Linked DNA regions of Macaca mulatta. The main gene of each other region encodes a partner of the protein of the gene in region 3 in a complex. Links are inferred from orthologs where the notes say so. Each region holds a gene or a part of one and is shown on either strand. Other genes may lie near its edges. The genes, in order: PLEKHA4, PEF1 and KLHL12.

Region 1 (2,879 bases), on a different chromosome or scaffold from region 3:
CACAACCACCACCTTCCCGGCATAGCGCGTTCCCGTAGCCATCCGTGTCCACCGGTCTCTCTCTCTCTCTCTCTCTCTCTGTGTCTCTACTCTGGGCCTTTTTCACCTCCAAAGCCCCGTGAGGCCGTCGCATCAAATCCTCAATAGAAGCTGGATCGTGGAAGTCCAGCCTCGGGGGGCGTTGCCAGGAAGGCTAGGGACCTGGAAGTTTGTCCCCAGCCCCTCCTCCCTCAGACACTCCTCTCCTCCCACAGACACAGGAATCCAGGAGCCCCAGTCCCTCCTCCCTCAGACCCAGGAGTCCAGCCTCCCAGCCCCTCCTCCCTCAGACCCAGGAGTCAGGGTCCCAACCCCTCCTCCCTCAGACCCGGGAATCCTGACCCAGGCCCCTCCACTCTCAGACTGAGGGATCAGATTCTCTATCCCTTCCTCCCAGAGACCTGTAAGTCCAAGCCCCCTGTCCCTTCCTCTCTCAGGACCCAGGAGTGCACGACTCCGGCTCTGCCCCTCAGAGACCCCAGTGCAACAACCCCAAACAGACAGAAACAAAGCTATTGACTAAAAGTTCAAAGTTTTAATCCAAATTTAGACAGTGTTGAGAAAATCAAACTTTGGCCATAGAAACCATTTCCCTCCCGGGCGGGCGATGGGGACCAGACCACGCCCCTGATGCCCTGAGTGGTCCCAGATCTCCGGCGGTACCTCCAGACCACGTGCTCACGCTCCGATTGGCTGCCACGTTTGGGCGGGTTAGAAGCTGGACTGTAGCAGAGTGACTCGCAGAGGCCACGCCCCCTCGTCCTGGGGCAGGACCGGAGGGGCGATCCCGGCATCCCACGTGGGCCCCCAGGGGGCGGGACTTCCTCCACGCCCACTCCCTCGGCGAGAGAACCCTGTGGAACCCGAATTAGCCACCGGGGAAGATCTGGGGGGAGGGGTCTCCTGGCGCGTGGGGTCCGAAGGAGGCAGCGGCACACGGGGAAGAGGGTCTCCCCGGGAGTCCAAATTTCCACCTAGAGAGGATGAGTGGGAGACATAAGAATGGCAAACTTCAGCAGCAGGACTCCGGGTTCCCAGGCCCCTCCTCCCTCAGACCCAAGAGTCCAGGCCCCCAGCCCCTCCTCCCTCAGACCCAGGAGTCTGGACACCCGAGTCCAGACCTCTTTCAGACTCAGATGTCGGTCCTCTCCCCGCCCCCTGACCTCTTCCTCCCCTCCTCCCAAGTGTCCCGGAACCCAGTCCACTCTTGCCTGAGACCTAAAACTCCCAAACTCTGCCCAACTCTTTCTTCGCCAACATAAAAAATTCCCACCGGCCCCTAGACCCCTCCTCTCCAGGACCTGGGATTCCAGGTCTCCAGCTTTCTCCTCCCTAAAACCCAGAAGTTCAACATCCCCAGCCAGTCACCTGTCATCATTCTGTGCCACTGCGACGCCTCAGTAGCCAGGGCTTGGGAGAGGCTGAGAACCCGCTCCCGGTGACCTTCGGAAGTCGGCAAGTAAGGGGTGGTGTTCCTTGGACTAGAAAAAAAAAGAAGATTGGGGGTGGGGTGTGTACATACATGGGGGAGAGGTGGGGAGGGTTAATTGGTACAAAAAGAAAAGGATGAATAAGACCTACTATTAGATAGCACAACAGAGTGACTATAGTCAATAATAATTTAATTGTACATTTTAAAATAAAGTGTGTAATTGGATTGTTTATACATCAAAGGGTAAATCCTTGAAAGGGGATGGATACTCTATTCCTCATGACGTGCTTATTTCACATTGCCTGCCTGTATCAAAACATCTCATTTATCCCGTAAATATATGTACACCTACTATGTACCAACAAAAATTAAAAATTAAAAAAAAAAAACAGTCCAGGTGCGATGGCTCATCCCTGTAATCCCAGCACCTGGGGAGGCCAAGGTGGGTGGATCACTTGAGGTCAGGAGTTCGAGACCACTCTGGCCAACATGGGAAAACCCAGTCTCTACTAAAAAATACAAAAAAGTTAGCCAAACATGGTGATGGGCACCTGTAATCCCAGCTATTAGGGAGGCTGAGGAAGGAGAATCACTTGAACCCAGAAGGAGGAAGTTGCAGTGAACTGAGATCGTACCATTGCACTCCAGCCTGGGAGACAGAGCAAGACTCCGTCTCAAAAAACAAACAAACAAAACAAACAAAAAAAAAAACAAAACAAAAGTAAAAATAAAAATAAAAACTAAACAGCTCGCACAGTGGGGACCCGGGTACCGCGCGTGCCCTTCTGGGAGTTGTAGTTCCTAGCACGTGTCTCTAACAGATGTTAAACATGGCACCGCCCTCATACCGCCCACATGCATTATGGGATTTGTAGTCCATTCGCAAATCACTACCACCCAATTTCCTTGATGCAAAAGCAGGCTATGCTATTGACCAAGGGAATTTGGGGAACTAAAGATATCACTACGGATCTAGGGCTTTCCGGTTTTGTTTCAGATGCCCCGGGAACGTAAGCATATCTAGAAGGGTTGCGATTTGTAGTTCCATATTCAGGAGACTTCAATAATAATGCTACTCCCCTTTGCTTATGCAAATTTTTTTTTCCTGCTCCCTTGATACGCCCTCCAGTTCCTTACCTACTCCAAGACCCAGAGCTTCTGAGCCATTTCTGGGCTCCCGAGTGTCCTACGACAGGCTGGAAAGGAATTGGGGCATTAGAACTCCTCACCTGGAAGCCCCACATTCTCATTTTGAGGGTGAAGTGAAGGGGCTCCAAAAGAGAATGAAATTGCCCAAAAACACTGGCAATGTTTTGTTTTGTTTTTCCTATGCTTCCGTAGGCACTGAATTTTTAAAAATTAATGTATTGGCCAGGTGCGGTGGCTCAAGCCTGTAATCTCAGCACTT
Region 2 (3,749 bases), about 150 Mb from region 3:
CCCCTATAAGACCAAAGGGTGCCTGAATTTTACTACTCCAATACCCAGTCCCTGCTTGGGTACCCTGGACTGGAAGCAGTGGAAAATTACAGGAATTCTGACTCCTAACAATAGGCTGGAATCCTCCAAAGCTATGTAGTGGGTGGAGGGGAGGCAGCACTGACTGAGATGCTCTAAAACAACCGGTTTCCTTTCTTAGAACACCTGAGACCAGGAGGCGGACAAGGGTATGGTAGGAAAAAAAGCAACATTTCTTTTTCTATTCCAGACTCCTCTCTCTGTGCTCCTTTTCAGTATTTCACTCCAAGAATAGCCCAGGCAGCATAGCATCATGAGAGCAGTCACAGCAGCAAGAGCTGCCACCAGACACTGGCATGTACTAGGCACTAGCAACGTGCCAGGCTCCCTGCATTTCAACCTCATTTTAGCCCTTTTCACAGGTATTATTTCTCCCTTTATATAACAGGTGAGGAAGCAGAGGCTTAGAGCCCTTAGTTTGTCCAAGGGTATATAACTATTAACACAGCTAGAATTCTAGCACAGTTCTGTCTAACCTGTCACTGTTTTTAGGATGCACACAAATTGTCCCTAATGCTTATTAGTATGTAGATTCCTGGGTACAGAACAGGTCTGAAGCGGGACCCGAAAGCGTGCTTTCTTAAACAAGCTCTCAGGTGATTCTGTGGCAGAAGACCAGCCATTGGGAAACAAGGCACTATGAATGTTTTCTCAGCCTGTGTTGCTCAGAAATACTAGAGTCACAAAAAGTGACCAGACATCTGAAAAGAAAGAGGGAAGGGGGAGTTTCTATGGTTAAATGTGTTTAAGAAATACTGCATATTATATTCCTTTCTGGAAGATTTACCATGTACATTAGCAAATTAAGAATTTTGAAATTGTTTGTGGTCAACAAACTTATTCAGCTATACTTAAAGAAGAGTATTTCCAAAACTTTAGTTAACTACAGAATCCTACTATATTAACAATATCTATTAACACCTCACAAGACTCAGCAAACGGAACGGACTTTAGGAAACAACTGCTATGTTACACTTTCTCCTAACTCCAGCCTGCAGTGGCCTCTTTCCTACCTCTCTCTACGGATGCAATAAGAGAAGTCCTAAGCTCTGGTCATGGCCTCACCCTCACTTACTACATGTGACTTTTGGGAAGCCACTTAACCTCTTTGGGTTTGTTCCTTAGCAGTTAATTAGGGGTAATAATACCTGCTTGCCGATAGAGCCTTCGTGATTAGGATAATGGAGGTCCGAATACTGTGTAACCCGTACAAGACTGCACTCTTTGGAAGGGCTGTTACATCTTTTGGCATGTGACTATACTCAGCTGAGCACTGTGTAATATACCAGTTGACCTTGTTATCCCAAATTTCCCGCACGGGTTTCATCTCCTAAATAACTGTGCGATCGCAGGCCTCTGTGGGCTTCATTTCCTCCTCTGTAAAATGAGGGGTCTATTTTGAGGACCCTCCGGGCACTGGCCTTTTAGAAGTCTAGTAAAAATCAAAATGCTAAAGGGCAACACTTGTTACACCTCACTATGTACCAAACGCTTCGTAAGCATCACCTCCTGACTCTCCACAATAGCTTTATGAGGCAGATCCTATTATTCGGCCCTATTTTACAGGATACTTGGACTCAGAAAGGCAAAACATCTTGCTCAAGGGCTCACAACTATTTAGGTAGTAGAGCTAAGGTATGAACCTACCTCTGACTCCAAAGTGCACTTCAACACCCTACTATCACCCAACAAACAATTCTGGCCACAGAATCACCTTGCTGTGGTATTCCTCACTGAATATACGCTGGGGAAGAGGAATCTGAAGGCAGCCCGGGTTCTGACCTCGGCCCTGCTGCCTAACTGCCTGGTGACTTCAGGTAAGTTCTGTGTCTTCTCGGGGTTCACTTTTCTACATGCGAAATGGCGGTGCTGAACTAAGTCAGTGGTCAAACCAGCTCACTTGTGGCGCCTGCTACGACCAAAGTTTCCTGATGACTCTGATGCAGTGTGGGGTGGGTCTGGAAGCCTGGATTTTTATCCGACGCCCCAAACTAGATCGACGGAACCAGAACTCTAAACGTCCGGTCATGGCTGATGCCCCCGCCCAAGGCCCCCGTGGGGGCCTTGGGAGGCTGTGGAGCCCAGGCCAGCGCCAGCCTGGACCTGTGGGGTCCAAGGTCCCCAAATCCTCGCGTGAGCGACGTCAAAGGGGACGCGACACGACCTCGCGAATGTGCGGTCCTTCATGACGTGAGCCGGGCGCGACCGACGGTCTCTTTTCGGTTCTCTACAGCGCGAGGCCTCGCTGAAGCGAACCCATCGTGGGAAGGGCGCGGAGAAAGCGGGGGAAAAGAGCAGGGGGGCGCCGGGCCTGCGCTTGGTACGGCCGCTACCTGGATTCGCGGGTCCCTCACACACTCACCTGCCGGTACGGATAGCTGGCCATGGCGATTCTGACGTCACACGCAGGCAAGGGGTGGGGCTTTCCGCTCTCAAACCCGCCCCTCGCCTCGGTTTTGGGGCTGGGCCCGCATCTGACTGGACGTCCGCGCCTGTCAATCTTGGGCGCAACGGCCGACGGAAGTGACGATCGGGCGGTGGGCGGATGCCTACCCGAGAGACCAGGGGAGCTAAGTGACTGATGGAGCTTCCGAAAGTCTTGGCCGCTGTGCCGGCGCTAATGTTCCTCCCTTTTCTGAGCTGGAGTGGGCCCAAGCGGTGGTCAGGTTGGGATATTTAGTGAGAAGCCTGGGTGGGATGTCGCTGCGGTAGCCATGTTATAACCTGGCAAGTGGGACGCATGATAGTGACGTAGTTGCTGGCGTAGCTCCTGAGTTTCCGCAGAGGAGCCGCGGGAAAGGAGAGGAGGGGGGCGGGCGGTTCCCCTGACAAGGTGGGAACCCACCGACTCTTCCCGGTAGGGAGAGGCAATGGCGGAATTGCTTTTCTAATGTCAAAACACTGGGTACCAGTTAGTAGCCTTGTAGTGAGATACAGATCTGTGGTCTTTGGAGAAAAAAATCCCAGACCGTTAGAGTTGAAGGAAAATTGAATTATCTAGTGCCTCTTTCTTCATAAATGGGGAAACTGAGGTCCAGAGAGGCAATTGACTTGCCCTAGCTCACAGTGGGTGGCCTAGAACCGGGGTCAATGGATGTCCAGTTCTCAGCAGGGAAGTCTAGGTCGTTCCCCATCGCAGGTCAAATCCTGGTGACTGAGTGATCTCAGCACCATGTACTTGCCACTCAGTGGTTCCGGTTGTACAGTTATTTGTGTGCTTATTTGATTACTTTGTCAAGTTCTTCCAGGTGGGCTAGGGTTTTGTCTGTTTTTGCTTGTCATTATAACTCCAGTATCTAGTACAGCGACTGACACGATTATTACGAAGTGTTATCCAGCCTAGCCCATCTATCTAACCAAGTGCACTTTCCAAAATCACAGTGCTGATCATGCCACTTACTCATTGCACAGCCTACAACGGATGCTGTTCATCCACGCCTACAAAATAAGGCCCAGTCTCTTCATTCTGGCACTCCAGGCCCCTTCAGAATCTGGCCCAACCTCACCTTTCCAATCTTACCGCCCCTTCTGCTACTCTGTATTTCTGTGCTCAGTTCCACCATTCAGCACTTCTGCTTTGGAGGGAGGATCTTTGTTTTATCACTTTCTAACCGTATCACCTTTGGCAAGCTTTGTTTTTTTTTTTTTTCAAATTTCCAACTTTTATTTTA
Region 3 (3,749 bases):
GGGCTCAGAGGATTATCGCCGCAGCGTTGTTCGGCACGAAAAGGCCATTGTGGACAATGGACGTGAAAAAATTTGAGGCCTCTGTGGGTTTTCTCGATGTCAAAAAGTTTCTCAGTACCTGGAAGGTAAAACATACTTGCTGCAATCAGATGCTTGGCATATTAAGCGTTGGAATTCTCTCTGTGTGCCCTGCCTCGTGAGCAGTAGGGAGGAACTCAGGCTCAGACAGTCGCTGAGCTGTAGATACATTCCCAGGCTCCCTGCCGGACCCCACAACATCCGGCCTTTTTTGTTTTTTTCTTTTTTTTTTTTTTTTGGAGACGGCGTTTCAGTCGGTCGCCCAGGCTTGAGTGCAGTGGCGCGATCTCGGCTCACTACAACCTCCGCCTCCTGGGTTCTAGCGATTCTCCTGCCTTAGCCTCCTGAGTAGCTGGGATTACAGACGCGTGCGACAACGCCCGGCTAATGTTTTTTGTATTTTTAGTACAGATGGGGTTTCACCATGTTGGCCAGGCTGGTCTCAAATTCCTGACCTCAAGTAATACACCCGCCTTGGCCTCCCAAAGTGCAGGGATTATAGGCGTGAGCCACCACGCCCGGACTTTTTTTTTTTTTTTTTTCAACAGGGTCTCTGCAGTGGCGACTCTGGCTTACTGCAACCTCTGCGCCTAGCTCAAGTGATCCTCCTGCCTCAGCCTCCCGAGTAGCTGGGACTACAGTCGGGGCCACCACGCCGGGCTAATTTTTTTTTTTTTTTTTTTTTTTTAGAAACGGGGTTTTGCCGTGTTCCCCAGGCGGGTGTGGAACTCCGGAGCTCAGGTAATTCGCTCGCCTCGGCCTGCCAAAGTGCCGGGATTACAGGCGTGAGCCACCATGCCCTGCCCACCAGACCTTTTTCTAATTCGGCTTCCTAGCAACGTGCAGAGGCCCGGCACCAGGGTACAGGCAGGTCACGTGACACCACCTCTTCACGTGACGCAGACTCGAGCGGGAGGAGGGCGGTGCTCCAGCTGCATTGCGTCATCACGTCGCGCGGCCGCAGGGACCAGACCTGGACGGCTCCAGAGCCTCCAGAGCCTCCGGGTGGGGGCGGCGGCGGCGGCTCTTCGGCTCTTCCTGAGCCGCCTGCTGGCCCCGCGCCCCACTCCATCCCCACAGGCTGGGGACGGGCCCGGCGCTGCTGTGTGGGCTCGGGAGCGGAGGTGAGTTGCGCGGAAGTGATGGCAGTCAGCCCTTCCCTTCCTGTCCGTCAACTCCGGGTTATGGCCCTACCCCCCATCCTTGGTCTCCCTGTAAGGCGGAATGGGAGACATGCCGGAGAGAGGAGGAAGGCTGGCGGGGGGGCGGGGCATCTGGCCTCAGTCGCCCTCTCAACTCTCCCCTGAATTGCCCCCCTGCGATACCTCCATCTGGCGGCGCCGGTCATATGCCTGGTGGTATCAGAAGGAAGGAGTTCGTTTCCTTCTCTAGAATGTAGTCTTTCCGGAATTTACTACCCCATTCCTGCCCCGAATCTCCCGAAGTGGAATCCCTCTATTCAGATGTTAACGGAAGTTCTAGAAAATAGGTCACTTCAGAAGGGTGAGGGTGAAGGATATGCTGAGACTTGGAGTGTTGAGGCAGGAATCCCCTAGAAGGAAGGCCACTCTGCACTAGGGGTACTGTCATTTTGGCACGGAAACGATAAAACACCCCCCAGGCTGTCTTCACTGTAAATGGACGTTTGTTCCAGACTCTTTTTGCACCCCTAGAGTTGAAACTAAGTTGACTTAAGTCTTTTTGAAAAACATATGCTTTGATGAATCACCCCCTTTTCTGCAAAATGGGTCATGCAGTTGTTGGAGGGATTATCTATAGTGCTTATAGAGTAAAATGCCAACTATAAACAGAAGTAGATGAGAATTTAGGATCTCATTTTTCCTGTTGAAAAATTACTTGTGAGTTGCGAACTTCTGGAGACCACAGTTTTATTTCCTGCCGTCCCCCTACCCCCGCCCCGCCGGATCGTTTCAGAAAGTTTTGGATTCCAATATTGATTCGTTAACCAGTAATGGACATTTACAGATATAGAGTAGGAATACCCTCTTGTTGAGGAGCTTCAATATCTTAAGCAAGTGTAAGTCCATCGGTAACTTGCGTGGTTTCCACTATTCAGTTAGGGTAATAGGTCAATTGAAGTTTCTTTCTTTCTTTTTTTTTTTTTTTTTTTGAGACAGAGTCTCGCCCTATTGCCAGGCTGGAGTGCGGTGGTGTGATCTCATCTCAATTCAACCTCCACCTCCTGGGTTCAAGCGATTCTCGTGCCTCAGCCTCCTTGGTAGCTAGGATTACAGGCGCGCGTCACCACACCTGGCTATTTTTTGTATTTTTAGTGGAGGCTAGGTTTCACCATGTTGGCCAGGCTGGTGTCAAACTCCTGACCTCAACTGATCCACCCATTTCAGCCTCCTAAAGTGCTGGGATTACAGGCGTGAGCTACTGGGCCTGGCCTGAAGTTTCATTTTAAGAAGAAATCCAGATATAGCTGAAAGTCATCAGACATAATTATTTGGCTACTTCTTTAGAAAAAAGTTTATTTTTACTGACTGGCCTTTCTCTCTCTAAGTTGAAGTTGAATACACACTTATTCTTACATTAAATTGTAAACATTCATTGTGCAACTTCTAGGATAGAAAGCATACATATAAAGCAGGATCCTCAGCCTCTAAATACTTATCTACTTAAGGATATTAAATAGTAATGATATAACACCTTTAAGAAATTGTATATTTTCAATTTGTCATTTGAGACAAGAACCTTGTGAAGATTTACAGGACATATATTGTTTATCTCTACTTACGTTTCAGCATTGATCATAATAAATGTCAAGTGGTAGGGACACTCCGTGGTAGAGGAATTCAGAGAAAGAAGAGAGAACTTTTACATGTACTAGATAGTGGCTAGATAGTGGTGGTGATGCCAGGCATAGGAGTGCCCTCAACTTGTGTCTGTTTGGGTCTGAGGGAAGCCTCTTAGGTTCTTAATTTGTAAAACTAATTAAATATGTTCAGTTTCCCTAGTTCTTTGAATATGCTCATTGTTTTTTTTCTCTTGTAGCTTCAGAATCCAAGGACCCATTTTGTTTTTTCTCCGCACTGCTTTATGGGAGGCATTATGGCCCCCAAAGACATAATGACAAATACTCATGCTAAATCCATCCTCAATTCAATGAACTCCCTCAGGAAGAGCAATACCCTCTGTGATGTGACATTGAGAGTAGAGCAGAAGGATTTCCCTGCCCATCGGATTGTGCTGGCTGCCTGTAGTGATTACTTCTGTGCCATGTTCACTAGTGAGGTAAGTGATAAGTTAGCCCCACACAAATGAAACTCCCGTGGTACTCTAGTTGTCTTATTTCACTGAATAAAATAGTAGAACTTTGATATAATTGTGAATTTTTACAGTGTGATGTTTTGGCAGATTCTGGATAAGATCTACCACTTAGATGACTATGCTTTAGTTTCCTCATCTTTAAGTTAGGAATAACAGTAATATGTAATAACTGGTTATTAAGGTTATTGTGAAGATTATTTTATGAAATAACGTACAAAATGCTTAGAGTAGTTTAATATGCAGTAAAACACAAATGTCAGCTATTGGATTTTACTATTTCTTAAATTTGTTTTCCAATTTTTCTCCTTTTTTTGTTTTTAATTTTATTTATTTATGTATTTATTTGTAGAGACAGGGTCTCACTGTGTTGCCCAGGC

The links.
Region 1: the proteins of KLHL12 (region 3) and PLEKHA4 are in contact, whole or in part, in a crystal structure (PDB 8OIO), measured with the Homo sapiens proteins. The link is inferred for Macaca mulatta from reciprocal best matches to the Homo sapiens genes KLHL12 and PLEKHA4. Residues at the interface, in NP_067646.1 of Homo sapiens: Phe289, Arg320, Glu417, Tyr434, Ile439, Phe481, His486, Cys511, Tyr512, Tyr528, Leu533, Cys558; in NP_065955.2 of Homo sapiens: Pro177, Gly178, Gly179, Pro180.
Region 2: the proteins of KLHL12 (region 3) and PEF1 are in contact, whole or in part, in a crystal structure (PDB 8RBH), measured with the Homo sapiens proteins. The link is inferred for Macaca mulatta from reciprocal best matches to the Homo sapiens genes KLHL12 and PEF1. Residues at the interface, in NP_067646.1 of Homo sapiens: Phe289, Gln293, Arg320, Tyr321, Leu371, Glu417, Tyr434, Ile439, Phe481, His486, Cys511, Tyr512, Tyr528, Leu533, Cys558; in NP_036524.1 of Homo sapiens: Gly15, Gln16, Ala17, Pro18, Gly19, Ala20, Pro21, Pro22.

The regions. Positions count from the first base shown.
Region 1 is NC_133424.1:61,292,500-61,295,378, forward strand, and holds the end of PLEKHA4 (pleckstrin homology domain-containing family A member 4), read right to left. Parts: intron 2,668-2,879; coding exon 2,609-2,667; intron 1,913-2,608; exon of another isoform or gene 1,521-1,912; coding exon 1,408-1,520; exon of another isoform or gene 1,014-1,407; coding exon 751-1,013; 3' UTR 555-750; downstream 1-554. UniProt on the Homo sapiens protein: Binds specifically to phosphatidylinositol 3-phosphate (PtdIns3P), but not to other phosphoinositides.
Region 2 is NC_133406.1:209,236,022-209,239,770, reverse strand, and holds the start of PEF1 (peflin), read right to left. Parts: upstream 2,477-3,749; 5' UTR 2,465-2,476; coding exon 2,441-2,464; intron 1-2,440. UniProt on the Homo sapiens protein: Calcium-binding protein that acts as an adapter that bridges unrelated proteins or stabilizes weak protein-protein complexes in response to calcium.
Region 3 is NC_133406.1:60,591,236-60,594,984, reverse strand, and holds the start of KLHL12 (kelch-like protein 12), read left to right. Parts: upstream 1-1,097; 5' UTR 1,098-1,202; exon of another isoform or gene 1,203-1,230; intron 1,231-3,059; exon of another isoform or gene 3,060-3,096; coding exon of another isoform or gene 3,097-3,141; coding exon 3,142-3,336; intron 3,337-3,749. UniProt on the Homo sapiens protein: Substrate-specific adapter of a BCR (BTB-CUL3-RBX1) E3 ubiquitin ligase complex that acts as a negative regulator of Wnt signaling pathway and ER-Golgi transport.